2 linked regions of the Styela clava genome follow. The main gene of each other region encodes a partner of the protein of the gene in region 2 in a complex. Links are inferred from orthologs where the notes say so. Each region holds a gene or a part of one and is shown on either strand. Other genes may lie near its edges.

The links. Proteins that work in one complex are often made in the same cells at the same time.
Region 1: DNA-directed RNA polymerase III subunit RPC2-like (region 2) and DNA-directed RNA polymerase III subunit RPC6-like share a complex: the UniProt entries of both Drosophila melanogaster proteins name them as parts of the RNA polymerase III (Pol III) complex. The link is inferred for Styela clava from reciprocal best matches to the Drosophila melanogaster genes Polr3B and Polr3F.

Annotation. Positions count from the first base shown.
Region 1 is NC_135251.1:26,464,005-26,472,019, forward strand, and holds the start of DNA-directed RNA polymerase III subunit RPC6-like, read left to right. Parts: upstream 1-4,983; 5' UTR 4,984-5,072; coding exon 5,073-5,125; intron 5,126-5,453; coding exon 5,454-5,571; intron 5,572-5,897; coding exon 5,898-5,965; intron 5,966-6,587; coding exon 6,588-6,768; intron 6,769-7,517; coding exon 7,518-7,682; intron 7,683-8,015. Other genes in the region: dnaJ homolog subfamily C member 8-like, read left to right, coding at 317-1,054; histone-lysine N-methyltransferase EZH2-like, read left to right, coding at 1,639-3,906. UniProt on the Drosophila melanogaster protein: DNA-dependent RNA polymerase catalyzes the transcription of DNA into RNA using the four ribonucleoside triphosphates as substrates. Specific peripheric component of RNA polymerase III which synthesizes small RNAs, such as 5S rRNA and tRNAs.
Region 2 is NC_135255.1:15,753,144-15,761,157, reverse strand, and holds the start of DNA-directed RNA polymerase III subunit RPC2-like, read right to left. Parts: upstream 3,018-8,014; 5' UTR 2,963-3,017; coding exon 2,786-2,962; intron 2,086-2,785; coding exon 1,738-2,085; intron 1,464-1,737; coding exon 1,226-1,463; intron 312-1,225; coding exon 85-311; intron 1-84. UniProt on the Drosophila melanogaster protein: DNA-dependent RNA polymerase catalyzes the transcription of DNA into RNA using the four ribonucleoside triphosphates as substrates. Second largest core component of RNA polymerase III which synthesizes small RNAs, such as 5S rRNA and tRNAs.

The DNA of each region.
Region 1 (8,015 bases), on a different chromosome or scaffold from region 2:
CCATCTATCAAGTAATTTATTTCAATTTTAAATATTCTACACATACAGACATAATTATGTGGGGAATTTTGTGTCGAAGTCGCCTCACCTATATCTGTATATGCTATATTTCTCTAAAAGAATTCAACATGATGCATGTACTGCAGTGTGACAGTACTATCAACTATATTTTGGTGTAATTCCTAACTTCATCTGGACCATGCTTTTTGTTTGAGATTTATTTGATTCTGTGATTGGTTAAGTCAGCAAGTTAAAACCTAATGATTCAATTACATTTTCAGCTAATGTTGTAAATAGGTGAATTTCAATCTTAATCATGGCTTCAACCAGTTCTGATCCAAAGGCTGAAGATGCATTCAATACATATATGTCCGAAGTGAAAAGAATTGAAGCCGCGGATTCAGTACTAACACCAAAACAACAGATTGATCGTTTAAATCGACCTGGATCAACTTATTTTAATCTTAATCCATATGATGTTCTACAAGTTACGCCAGAAACTCCTCTACCAGATGTTAAGAAGAAATTCAGACGCTTATCTATACTTGTTCATCCAGATAAAAATTTAGAACAAAAAGAGCTCGCACAAAAGTCATTTGATGCTGTCAAAAAAGCATGGGAATTACTAAATGATGATAAAGAAAGAGAAAAATGTTTAGGTGTAGTTTCAGATGCAAAAGTACGACTTGAAACGAAATTGAAAGAAAAAAGGAAGAAATTGAAAAAGGAAGGAAAACCTGCTGAAATACCAGAAGATGATCCGCATGTTTATGAATCAGAACTACACAAAGAAACTTGTAAACTTTTTGCTGACATGGCGATTGTTCGTAAAGAGATGGAAACTCGAGAAATGAATGAAAGAAAAAGGAAAGCGCAACAAGAAGCTGAGGAAAAAGAAAAAGCGAAGCAGCAGAAAGAATGGGATAAAAACTTTGAGGAAAGTCGTCAAGGTAGAGTTTCCAGTTGGCAAAATTTTAAGAAGGATAAAAAGAAGAAGAAAAAAGACACGAGGGCACCTTTCAAACCTCCGAAAGTCAGAATGGAAGAAAGATGATTTTCCTCTCATTATAGTTATATTCATCAAACTTATATCTCTAAAACTTCAATTGTCTTTTGTTTCACATCATATCGAAATAATCTTGAAAATTAGAATTGATTGTGAAACCTGTGTACTAGGCTATAGTATTATGCATTGACATAGAATCATCATTTTGTTTCTCCCAATTGGGGTCAAACTTTACAGTAGTGAATGAGTCCCCACTAATTTTAAATTATGTTTCATTTAGAATATTATTATTGAAACAGTTTTTATATGGGTATGGTTTTCAATAATCTGTCAATGTTATTAAGATGGAATTTATGGATTGTTCTATGTATTTGTAATAAGAATTTGGTGAATTGAAAAGCATATATTTTTCAGCAAAAAAAAATCAAATTGGAAAATTTAAATAGTACTGCATTGTGACACAAATTGTTTTTCACCAAGATTATATTAGTAGTAATTTTCCGTTTATTTTGTTATTTTGTCTCACTTGACAGGTATGCGGCTATATTAGCTTATTTTTTAAAGTTTATTGAACTATGCTTCTTTGTTATTTTCAGCTTGTGTCACTGCTTAGTTAATTAGTTAAGAACAAAATGGATTGGAAAAAAATTGTACGAAGTGAATACATCACGCTTAGATCGGCGAAGAGATATCAACGTAGTGACAAAATTAAACAAGCTTTCATAAATAACAGAGTAAAATTGAACGAAAGAATTTCAAAATTGGAACAAACAAATGAAAAGTACAAAGTACAACAACCAGATTCAGAACCGGTTTTTACAAATAGACCATTCCTTCGATGCTGTACAGTGAAAAGTAGTGTTCATGCTTTCCGTGATCAGTCTGTTCCTTTATGTACACTGCAAGCTGTGCCAAGTCTTCCTGTTTATTATACATGGGTCCCAGTTCAACAGGATTTCATGGTTGAAGATGAAACAATTCTACATAACATTCCATATATGGGGGACGAAGCTTTGGATAAAGATGGAAGTTTTTTAGAAGAGTTGATTATGAATTATGATGGTAAAGTGCATGGGGACAGAGAAGGTGGTTTTCTAAGTGATGAATTATTTGTTGATCTTGTTGATGCACTGAATAAATATAATATCAGTCGTAAACGTCGTCCTTTGAGAAGTCGTTACAGAACTGATAGTGCTGCAAATGAAGCATCACAAGACAACACTACAAGCGAATCAAGCAATGAAGATGCAGATCCAGCGAAAGAGAAGGAAACTGCAGATGCGGAGCAAAATAAAAATTCAGACTCGTCATCTGCTTCTGGTACAAACACATTTCCTGCAGATGAAATATTTGATGCTATTGCTGATTATTTTCCTGATAAAGGTTCAGGTGAAGATTTAAAAGATAAATATAAGGAGCTGACTGAATTGATGGATCCCGATGCACAACCTCCTGAATGCACTCCCAATATCGATGGTGCAAATGCTAAATCAGTACAAAGGGAGCAAGCATTGCATTCTTTTCATGAATTATTTTGCAGACGCTGTTACAAATATGATTGTTTTCAACACAGTCATCTTTATAGACCACCTATTAAAACGAGTAAACGAAAAACTCAAGATGTTAGAACACCTACAGAACCTTGTGGTGCTGATTGTTTCCAACACCTTGAAGGTGCACAAGATTATCGTGAAATATCAGAGAAACCTCACAGACATTTGCAGAGAGGATTGTCAAAGAAGAAATCTCAGCTTAAAGGCGAAGGAAGAAGTGGGAGCAGCAGTGGAAGTCGACCTAGTACCCCTGCCCCAAGTGAGAGTGAGATGGATACAGATGCGACAGATACTGAAAAACTACCTACAACACAATCAATGACATCATTTCTTGAACTCGTTCCTGAAAATTTGACTAAAACTATATGGGATGGAGCAGAGTCAACTCTGTATCGGGTATTAAGAACAAATTACCCAAACAATTTTTGTTCGATTTCGAAACTTATTAAAACTAAATCTTGCCAAGAAGTTTATGCCTTTGCATTACTTGAAGCTACACGCTCGCAACATGACAGCGGTTCACAACCTCATCCACATGAACATGATTTGAGAGATTCAGCTTCTCCCAGAAAGAAAAAAAGGAAGCACAGACTTTGGTCTCTCCATGCTAGAAGAATACAACTGAAACGAGATTCGTCCAGCAATCATGTTTACAATTACCAGCCTTGTAATCATCCAGGACAGCCTTGCGACAGCAATTGTCAATGCATTATGGTTGGAAATTTTTGCGAAAAGTATTGCCAATGTCCGTCTGATTGTCATAATCGCTTTCCAGGATGTCGTTGTAAAGCTCAATGTAACACCAAGCAATGCCCATGTTATCTTGCAGTGAGAGAGTGTGATCCAGACCTCTGCTCTCTTTGTGGTGCTGACCAGCTCGGCACAAATGCAAGTAAATGTTCTTGTAAGAATGTTTCAATACAAAGAGGTCTCCATAAGCATCTACTTTTGGCTCCATCTGATGTTGCCGGATGGGGAATTTATATAAAAGAAGATGTGCCCAACAAAAATGAATTCATTTCTGAATATTGCGGAGAAATTATATCTCAGGATGAGGCAGATCGTCGTGGAAAAGTTTACGATAAATACATGTGTAGCTTTCTGTTTAATCTCAATAATGATTTTGTTGTGGATGCCACTCGTAAAGGAAACAAAATTAGATTTGCCAATCATTCCGTTCATCCTAATTGCTATGCTAAAGTGATGATGGTAAATGGTGATCATCGTATTGGAATTTTCTCAAATTGCCCGATACAAGCAGGAGAGGAATTGTTCTTCGACTACAGCTACAGTCAATCTGATGCAGTAAAATATGTTGGAATAGAAAGAGAGATGGAAGTTTCCTAAAACTATTTGAGAATCATTATAATAGGCTACTACTGTAAATAAGTATAACAGTTAGGAGTTTTGTAGACTATTCTGATTGCTCACACTGCGATTCACTTATTGAATCAGGCAATTGAAAGCACTAGTATGGAATGTTTTCTTTACACATATTTATTTTGTTTGACGTGGTCCCTATTTTGCCAATGCATTATTGCGTTGGCTTTTCGTTTTATAAATTGAGGATGCAGTAGACATCCCCAGGGGCACAGTCAGGATTTTGCAGCGTAGAGTGGGGGGGGGGGGGGTGGGGCGGGGTCGGAGTCAGAAATACCCATGTAACGCATGAGGAAACAATTGATGCGATTATGCTACTCATTAAAATTGTGGTTAACGTATCTTGCGGTTGCATCGTTTCACATAGAAATAACATTGTATTTGAACTCTAAAATACCATGGCAATCAGTGGATATAAAAATGTGATATGAATTCTACAATTAGATTTTACTTTGGATTCATATTTTTGCGACCACGCAAATTTGTTATTGCTGATAATAAAATCACAAAATCTGTGATAAAATTGCAGTACAGTTTATGTTAGTACAATAAAAAATTGATTGAACATCAGTATCAGCATAATCCAAAAAAAATTGAGTGTGGCCCTGACGATAATTTATTAACTGATGGCATGCATAATTGACTGTTTTATCTTCAGTGACTATGGTATAGTTCCAACTTATTATAATGTGTTCCATGGCAACTCAGGCCCCGAAAACCCCCTGGCTGCACCACTGGACTCTGCTGTCTCTTTTGCATCATTTGCTGCTGAAACTTATTCATAATTTCTTTATTTAGCTACTGCATTTTTTTGTTGTTGTGCCAGACATTATAATCTATATGTTGTTTGAATCTGCTTGTTGTGATACCTTGTGACTGTCATCATATTTTTAAATCATAAAATCTAAATGTTTGACCAATACTGTTGTCTATAAAATAAATGCACATCACTTGATTCCAGAAACCTTTATGATCATCATAGAAATCCAGCATAATCAGATTTATTGGTTTATTGAAACATCTGTTCTATATCAATTGCAATGGTTTTGTACTTTTTAGTTTAATATCTGACATGGACTGAACTACATAGGCTATGTATGTATAAAATAATTTTATAGACAACTTCATTCATCATGGCAATGGAAGTCACTATGCAAGAGGGTAGTGGACTGCCATTGGAAGACAGGTAGTACTTCTTTATTTAGAGTTATTGTCAACAGGATCTCTGAAATTCATAGTATGGTAGTGGTATGTTTATACCAGTTCAAAGAACATATTGAGTTGATTTCATTGAGCAGACTATGATCTTAAATCACAACAACATTCTAATGCATTGTTGTTGGCGGCTTGACACCATTATTCACTCAAGAATAAGTGACAGATACTGCTAATTATTCTGCAAATAATGCGGTTTTCGATAATTTTCGTCATTCCTGATTATAACCATATATTTCTTCTGTGCATGGTTATCAATGATTAATAAAATTTGAGTTGAGTGTTATATTTCTGTCTAGAATATTGGCAATGTGTGCTGAATATCCTAAAGGAATCGGTGATGAGTTCATTCAGAAGAAAGAACCTCAAATTGACTCAAAGGAAAGAGTTGCTGCAATCAACAAGTTGCTTACAATGGTTGGTTTGTTTTAAATATAACATTGTAGTATTCAGTATAATTTTTGTTAATATAAAATTTCATTAATTATTTGTGAATGTGTCGGTCAATTCGATTGCGATTTTGCACCATGGTGTTGCTAACATAATAGTAACAGCATGTTTAATAAAATTTCGCTATATTAATTTCCTGCCCAGCTTTGGTCATGTTTATTGTAATGAGATCAATCTAGAAGCAGGTGGACAATGATTTTCTTGCCAAGATTCTAACTACACTAAAACAAAATTCGCCCACCTGTTGGAGATTTCTTAAATATATCTTAAATGTTCTGTACTTGGGTTTTCAGGGAAAGATAGAACTTCTGAAAGGAACTTCTGGATTGATATACAGATTGAAATGTACAACCGGAGCAAGGTATCTAGAGTGTTGGATTGTAATGAAAATTATTCTGCATCCACATTGTGCTTGGTTTTGGATCATATATGTTTTGTTAACTTTTATGACATGATTTCCCCATTTGCGTGGTTTGTGACGAAACATGGGTCTAGAGTTCATATAGTCACCCATTATACTAACATTATACACAAGTTCAATCTATTTGCTTTGTATGACATATATGTATTACCATAGTATCAAACAGCTGGAAAAGAGGAATTGACAAGAATCATTTTGTTGTCGAATAGTGGAATTTTGTCATAAAAATCTGTTATTGTGTAAAACTGGCCAATTTTGATTGCGATTTTGCACCATGGTGTTGCTATCATAATGGTTACAGCATGTTTAATAAAATTTCGCTATATTGATTTCCTGCCCAGCTTTGGTCACGTTTATTGTAATGAGATCAATCTAGAAGCAGGTGGACAATAGCCTTTTCACTTTTTTGGCAAGATTCTGAATAAACTAAAAGTAAATTCGCCACAGACGATGGCCCCTAGTCAAAAGGATCAAAGAGTCCTTTTTTGAAAATATGACATTAGCTACTTTGGATTTACTGCCATGGCATAATATTAATGGGAGACATTTCTACTAATTACAGCCAAATCAAAGGAATTGACAATCAAGATAAACTTGTGTATCAAGTTATAGAAAGTGCTGGTAATAAAGGAATATGGATTCGAGATATTCGACACAGATGTAATTTAATGTTGACGGAAGTTAACAAAATATTGAAGAATTTAGAAAACAGGAAATTGATCAAAGCTGTCAAATCTGTCACGGTATTTTCATTGCAGTCTTGTATTTTTGTTGAGACGTCCTAATACTGCAATCTGTGACTATTCTTATTCCAGGTTGTATCTGTCATAGCAAACTTATTTGAATGGTGGAATTTTGTAATAAAAATCTGGTATCGTGTAAAACTTGTCAATTTTGGCTGCGATTTTGCACCATGGTGTTGCTATCTAAATGGTTACAGCATGTTTAATAAAATATCGCTATATTAATTTCCTGCCCAGCTTTGGTCACGTTTATTGTAACGAGATCAATCTAGAAGCAGGTGAACAACAATATTTTTACTGAAACTAAATTATCTCTAGTCGATAACTGATAACCAAGGTCTGTCATGTTGCCAGTGTGCTTCTGATTATGAAATCTGTGAGTGGATTTTGGACTCTATGCCAGTTATTTACAGCTTTCTCTAGCTAGCATCTAAGAAAGTGATTTTAAAACATTCCCATAAAGAAACCTGGTCCAGTGGTCTGGTAACTGGAGGCTGTAGATCGTGGTATATTTGAGTGTCTTCGTCTGTATTTCCTATAAAGATAGATTTGAAAATACGATCCATCCTGATTGTTGACTTGTTTACATATTCAACTCATGACTAGTACAAGCGACTAATTCTGCTTTCAGTTGGTAGGATTGTTATGGGATTCTTCAATAAACATTTTTATTTTTTATTATGTCCTAAATTTTTATTTTAATAAATATGTATTTCAAACAGTAGTAATTTCATTCAATTTTTATTCAGGCTTCTAAAAAGAAAGTATACATGCTTTTCAATCTTGAACCTGATAGTTCAATAACTGGTGGAGCATGGTATTCTGGACAAGATTTTGAATCCGAATTCGTTGATGTTTTGAATCAACAATGTTACAAATTTCTTCAACAAAAAGAGGAGAGCGCTGCAAGTGAGGTTTGGGACCACTTCATATTATTCGTACACTGAATAACTAGGCCTATCTTATGGTGGTACTATATTTCTGCAGTGTACATTTTTGTTATTTGTCTTGTACTCAATACCTTGTGAATGTCATATGTTATATGGACATATATTTTGGAAAGGTTTGGAGTAAGAAAATTTCAAAAATTAATGAAGGGTAAAATTACTGCATTTGCCAGTTATTTAAATATTGCATCTGGTGTACTATCTGCAACCCATGCTCGGTGTAGTCAAATCAACGGTAACACTTTCATGGATATTTACTTTGATAAATTCCTCCTTTCAAGCGAACGAATGCTTTAGTGA
Region 2 (8,014 bases):
TTTTAAACTTATCTTTTTTGCAACATCACAAGTAAAAAACAGATACAACTTTACAAAACTAAACCAATATGAAACATGTCTAACCTTGCAATGATAATTCCAATCAATAACAGGCACATGAGCAAGTAAAGTTGTTGCCAGCCAGTCTCTTGCTTCATCGTTTCGTGATCGTCTCGGTGCTCCCCACATGCCACGATTTCTACGGATTTTTTGACCAATATAACGAGTCGCTTGAAGTTGAGTAAAAACTTCGAGTCTGTGACATTCTTCGATGGAGGATGCAAATAGAGACATGATGGACTCATCGGTCCCTGGGATAAAGGTAATGTAAACAACAACTATGGGACCTCTTGAAGTATATGCACCAAGGTGGCACACAACCTGAAATCAGGTTGTGTACCAGGTTAGGGTTCAGGTTATGCAACATCTTGGTGCACATACTTCAGGAGTACCCAACTCTGATTATATTTACTTATATAAGTACAAAAAAGTGATGCTGAAAAACATGGACACAAAGGCAAGAACGAAGTAGTACAGGTCAATACCACAGTCTTCACGACTATTGAGAACCCAAAACCGCAACAAAGTGCACAATTTTTGATGACGTCATCGCACACGAAAAACAAATCCCATAGAGCCCACAGAAATTTTTAAAATAAGAAAAGTAATAACCTTCTACCAAAAAATACAATCTTGAACCACTGAAAAATTCAAAGCAATTATTGAGAAAAGCAATTTTTTCATAATTATATGAAAAAAAATACCAACAGGAACAACAACAACATAATAACGAAACAATATACACATACACTTCGTGTCCAAGAATATATGATTTTAATATTTAACCAGGAGAGAAAAGGGCTCAGATTGAGATGAATTAGTCGCAAGGCGAAGCAAAGACTTTCCTTCGATTACCAGTCCAGGTTGCATATGGGATTATTCAATCAAGTAATTGCGCAATATGCATAGTCCATAGTTTAACATCCATGAATTAATTGAAATCAGCATATTTTTCAAGATTTGTAAAAATATGTAAAAAGCTCAATTAACAAGCATTTCTGCAACTAAAGTCTTAATAAAATTTTTGTGAGAATTGGTGGATAAAGATCTTGGAATGTTTCAGTTCATACTTTTTCGTTACACATTTACAAAGTTTGAAAATATAATGTCGACCATTCCGACTCATTCGTGACTCCACAGTAAAATTTTGGACCTAGTGCCTTACCTATGAGTTGCATTATAGCTTGGTCACTTTCAACACCCATTGCTTTAAAAATAATACAAACAGGAGTGTCTTCTGTCAGTGCATTCTGTTGTAAATAAAATTTTCCCTTCTTTTGCAAAATTGTCGCTCGAGTCTTTTTCTCGTGAGTGGAACTGTGCACGGAACAACTCACCAAACCCTTTCGATCTTTCTCACAAATCATTCGGTTTTTGGACAGTTGTTCTTGAATCAATATGACCTAAAATTCAAAATTTTATTATGAAATTTACCGCTTCCTAATTTTATACATTGCATATATAAATAGGCTATAATGCCAGGTAGCCTATTCATGAAGCCATATTGCAATTTCAATATTTTTTTATGAAGTCAGTTCTCAATATATAACCAGGTTTGTTTTATTTTAATCAGAGTTTTTACTTCACTCGATACACCTTTATCTCGTAAAGTAGCCTAACCTTAGTCTAGTAATTGTGAAGCAATTATATTCAGCCATCATTTCATTTTTAATTTACCTTTTCAACCCCTTTGCAAACAAAATAACCGCCTGGATCATACGGACATTCATTTAGCTTTGCAAACTCAACAGGATTTTTTCCAGCTAAAACACAATTTGAACTTTGTAACATGATTGGCATCCTTCCAATGGGGAGGTGTTTTCGAATAATTCTCTGCTGCCCTCTTGTGTATTCAACATCAACAGTTATCGGAGCAGAGTAGGTAAGATCTCGAAGCCTGCACTCGTGTGGTGAAATAGGACGAGTGACATTGAAACTTTCTTCCACGTCAGGTTTTCCAACGTGAATATCGAGATATTTTAAATACCAATTTGGATCAGCATCACTTAGCACTTTGTCATTTGCCTGTAAAATAAAACATTCACAAATGAGCAATTCTTAAATGAGCCAAAATCAATATTGCAACATTTAGAAAGTCGAATAAACTTAACCTATTTGTTTTTGTTAAATTGTGTTGAATGATAAAAATAATAGATAGATTCAGATATTTTATCCCGTCATGCAAGAATCAATTGAAAGCAAAAGTAAAACATAGTGAACTAAAAATAAATAGAAAACATTGATTCACAGCAATTGACGCAGGGTCGCGAAAGACTCAATGAGTCATCCAGTCAGCGAAATGAAAAAAAAAATAATTTCAACATTTTTACATGAGAACTTTATATATTTAACCCTAAACTGGAGATAAGACCGTAAGTTTCAACAAATATATTCTAAATAAGATTGAACTGAAATGGATAGGATAGGATTTACATATTTATCCAGGGGGAGAGGAAAGCCGATAAGACGGCTTATCCATATGGCGAACCACGGCCTCTCGTCCGGTTACCATTTCAAGTCGGGTATGGGATTAGTTATATATATATATATATATTGTTTGTTTTCGGAGGCATGGACAATCCTCTCGCACATAACCATCACTGCATGGGATTCGAACCTGCGAACCCACGCAGAGTAATTAGAGGTGCGGTAGCGAGCGTATTCCTAACGCTTAGCCCGTTGAGCCACACCGCCGCGTAGAAAATCAATAATAGATTTCACCAACCTGCATTATTTTCTTGATCTCCACGTTAATAAAATAATTAAATGAATCGATGTGTTGCTTCACCAAGCCTTTCACTTTGAGAAATGCCGGTAATATTTTCCATTTGTCTTTCACATCTGAAAGCGGCTTATTTAAATCCGCATATTCGTCGTCTTCATTATCAACCTCTTTCTTCATATTCTGGCCTTTGTTATATATGGAACAGAAAATACAAAAGCTACCGTGTGCTATCGCCACTGTCATATAAGCAAAATGCTAGCAAAATCCCGCAGCAAAATATACGATGTCATAAAAACGTGTTTCCACTTTGCGAAATATTTTTAATTATTAACCACAGAGATGTAGAATTGCAAATTGAACGTTATTATGTAGCATTCAATCACACGAAGCATTTGGGATCAAGGGAGAAGTACAAAAAACTACATTTATCAAAATAAAATAACGTATTATTGAGGAAAAAATGAAAAGTTTGTTAAATTGACACTAAATTTGAACAAGATCTGCCTTTGGGTCTCAAAAAATATTTTGGGTATGGATTTACAACTCAGACATCTTTCCAATCAAAAAAAGAATTTGACAAAAAAATTGATCAGTTTTCTAACAGAATAATTTCAATACAACGCAACAACGTAAATTTCCTGAAAATTCGAAAAATCGTTAAATTGACCCAAAATATGAACAAGATCTGCCTTTAGGACTCTAAAAAAATTTTGGGTATGGATTTATAGCTCAGACATCTTTCCAATCTAATAAAGAAATTCGAAAAAAAAAGATCAGTTCTCTAACAAAATACTTTTAATACAACGCAATAACGTCAATTTCTTTAAAATCCGAAATATCGTTAAATTGACCCAGAATTTGAACAAGATCTGCCTTTGGGGCTCAAAAAATATTATGAGTATGAATATCTGAATTCATCATCTTTCCAATGACATAAAGAAATTGAAAAAAACTCGATCAAAATACCGCAATAACGTAAATTTCTGAGAAATTCGAAAAATCGTTAAATTGACCCAAAATTTGAACAAGATCTGCCTTTGGGGCTTAAAAAATATTTTGAGTATGGATATTTGAATTCATCATCTTTCCAATGAAATAAAGAAATTGAAAAAAACTCGATCAGTTTTCTAACAAAATACTTTTAATATAGCGCAATACCGTAAATTTCTTAGAAATTCGAAAAATCGTTAAATTGACCCAAAATTTGAACAAGATCTGCCTTTGGGGCTCAAAAAATATTTTGAGTAGGGATATTTGAATTCATCATCTTTCCAATAGAATAAAGAAATTGGTAAAAAACTCCATCAGTTTTCTAACAAAATACTTTCAATATAGCGAAATAACGTAAATTTCTTAGAAATTCGAAAAATCGTTAAATTGACCCCAAATTTGAACAAGAAATGCCTTTGGGGCTTAAAAAATATTTTGAGTATGGATATTTGAATTCATCATCTTTCCAATGAAATAAAGAAATTGAAAAAAACTCGATCAGTTTTCTAACAAAATACTTTTAATATAGCGCAATACCGTAAATTTCTTAGAAATTCGAAAAATCGTTAAATTGACCCAAAATTTGAACAAGATCTGCCTTTGGGGCTTAAAAAATATTTTGAGTATGGATATTTGAATTCATCATCTTTCCAATAGAATAAAGAAATTGGTAAAAACTCCATCAGTTTTCTAACAAAATACTTTCAATATAGCGAAATAACGTAAATTTCTTAGAAATTCGAAAAATCGTTAAATTGACCCCAAATTTGAACAAGAAATGCCTTTGGGGCTTAAAAAATATTTTGAGTATGGATATTTGAATTCATCATCTTTCCAATAGAATAAAGAAATTGGAAAAAAACTCTATCAGTTTTCTAACAAAATACTTTTAATATAGCGCAATAACGTAAATTTCTTAGAAATTCGAAAAATCGTTAAATTGACCCAAAATTTGAACAAGATCTGCCTTTGGGGCTTAAAAAATATTTTGAGTATGGATATTTGAATTCATCATCTTTTCAATGAAATAAAGAAATTGGAAAAAAACTCGATCAGTTTTCTAACAAAATACTTTTAATATAGCGCAATACCGTAAATTTCTTAGAAATTCGAAAAATCGTGAAATTGACCCAAAATTTGAACAAGATCTGCCTTTGGGGCTTAAAAAATATTTTGAGTATGCATATTTGAATTCATCATCTTTCCAATGGAATAAAGGATTTGAAAAAAAATTCGATCAGTTTTCTAACAAAATGCTTTTAATATAGCGCAATAACGTAAATTTCTTAGAAATTCGAAAAATCGTTAAATTGACCCAAAATTTGAACGAGATCTGCCTTTGGGGCTTAAAAAATATTTTGAGTATGGATATTTGAATTCATCATCTTTCCAATGGAATAAAGAAATTGGAAAAAAACTCGATCAGTTTTCTAACAAAATACTTTTAATATAGCGCAATAACGTAAATTTCTTAGAAATTCGAAAAATTGTTAAATTGACCCAAAATTTGAACAAGATCTGCCTTTGGGGCTTAAAAAATATTTTGAGTATGCATATTTGAATTCATCATCTTTCCAATGGAATAAAGAAATTGGAAAAAAACTCGATCAGTTTTCTAACAAAATACTTTTAATATAGCGCAATACCGTAAATTTCTTAGAAATTCGAAAAATCGTGAAATTGACCCAAAATTTGAACAAGATCTGCCTTTGGGGCTTAAAAAATATTTTGAGTATGCATATTTGAATTCATCATCTTTCCAATGGAATAAAGGATTTGAAAAAAAATTCGATCAGTTTTCTAACAAAATGCTTTTAATATAGCGCAATAACGTAAATTTCTTAGAAATTCGAAAAATCGTTAAATTGACCCAAAATTTGAACGAGATCTGCCTTTGGGGCTTAAAAAATATTTTGAGTATGGATATTTGAATTCATCATCTTTCCAATGGAATAAAGAAATTGGAAAAAAACTCGATCAGTTTTCTAACAAAATACTTTTAATATAGCGCAATAACGTAAATTTCTTAGAAATTCGAAAAATTGTTAAATTGACCCAAAATTTGAACAAGATCTGCCTTTGGGGCTTAAAAAATATTTTGAGTATGCATATTTGAATTCATCATCTTTCCAATGGAATAAAGAAATTGGAAAAAAACTCGATCAGTTTTCTAACAAAATACTTTTAATATAGCGCAATAACGTAAATTTTTTAGAAATTCGAAAAATCGTTAAATTGACCCAAAATTTGAACAAGATCTGCCTTTGGGGCTTAAAAAATATTTTGAGTATGGATATTTGAATTCATCATCTTTCCAATGGAATAAAGAAATTGGAAAAAAACTCGATCAGTTTTCTAGCAAAATACTTTTAATATAACGCAATAACGTAAATTTCTTAGAAATTCGAAAAATCGTGAAATTGACCCAAAATTTGAACAAGATCTGCCTTTGGGGCTTAAAAAATATTTTGAGTATGCATATTTGAATTCATCATCTTTCCAATGGAATAAAGGATTTGGAAAAAAATTCGATCAGTTTTCTAACAAAATGCTTTTAATATAGCGCAATAACGTAAATTTCTTAGAAATTCGAAAAATCGTTAAATTGACCCAAAATTTGAACAAGATCTGCCTTTGGGGCTTAAAAAATATTTTGAGTATGGATATTTGAATTCATCATCTTTCCAATGGAATAAAGAAATTGGAAAAAAACTCGATCAGTTTTCTAACAAAATACTTTTAATATAGCGCAATAACGTAAATTTCTTAGAAATTCGAAAAATCGTTAAATTGACCCAAGATTTGCCTTTGGGGCTCAAAATCAGAATAGTGTTGTTATTGAGAGACATGCATGCCATGGTATAAATCGACCCATCACCGATACTCACCTACATAGTATATATTAGCTGAAAGTAGTCTATAAGAGAAATTCTACGCAAATCCATGAGCTTTTATGTTTGTCCGGGAGAAACTCTAATCACTGTTCTTTTTATCAGCTTGGTTACTTGCAACCCCACATGTATAGGAACAATCTCTCCATTATGTTTGATTGCGTTGAAATAATATGTTTATATACTGGATAATGTCTTCGCTTTTTCATGGTTAAATTATATTTAAAATTTAAATAGTCACAGATAATTTACAATTCGATTTACTTTCATTTCAGGTGAGACAAAACAAGAATTTTGCAGCATTGCATTATAAGCTGAACTGGTGATTTTATTTTCGCAAAATGGCTGCGCACAAAAATTGTTACGTTGTTCCGGTATACATGCAACATGAACGAAAAAGAAGTACAAATCATTGATTAGTAGAGATGAACAGTATCCGAAGAAATAACCCATGTGCTTTCGTAACAGTGAAATAGTTGCGGCGTTCCACTTCACGGCCATTTACATTCGAATCCGAATTGAAAAAAGAAATGACTCCGACTCTAGACTCGGGTTTGCAAACAATTTTGACCCCGACTACAGCTCCGAACTCTAGAAAAATCCGATTTTGATAACAAAATTTTTAGCGCATGTTAGCCTTCATTAATTAATTGTTAGAAAACGCTTAGGAAGCTTGATGCTTTTTTGACTTCCATTATCACCATTGAATGTCTGAAATTATGACTTTAACGATCGAATTCAAAATCTTACAGTTTAATATTAAGCTTCCAGATCCAGTGAGAACATGCCGAATTCCTACTATACAGCCCGTAAGTATTGAAACACGCGAATCAATTGTATGCTACGAATTGGCACATATATTTAACGAAATACCTATGAATATTGGCAAAAAAATGTAACCTAATAAAAAAAATTCACAAAAATTACGTCAACTTCTTTAGTTTTCAAAGATAAGTATAAATTGAACCAAAACGTTTATTTGTTTTCACTACTTAGTCAATTATCTCTCTATCTCTACGAAATACAGTATTGAATATGGCATGTACTTTCGGATGTAGTTTTTTAGATCCAAGACAAATTGCATACATCATCCAACTTCGAAATATGTCTGGGGAGACAAGGCCAAGGTCATTTTTGAAGTCCGAACAAATCATGTCCACTGCCATACAGACACATACGCCACAGCTTGTCACATCCGTTTGCCTAATAAAGCATTTTTGAAGAATGGAAATGTTTCCTTCATACTTTCCGAGATTCAATAAAAACGGGAGAAGATATGAGGCAATATTCTCTTTCGTGGTGTCTATTTTACTTTCAGCCGAGTCTATAATGAACGCGGTAAGCATAG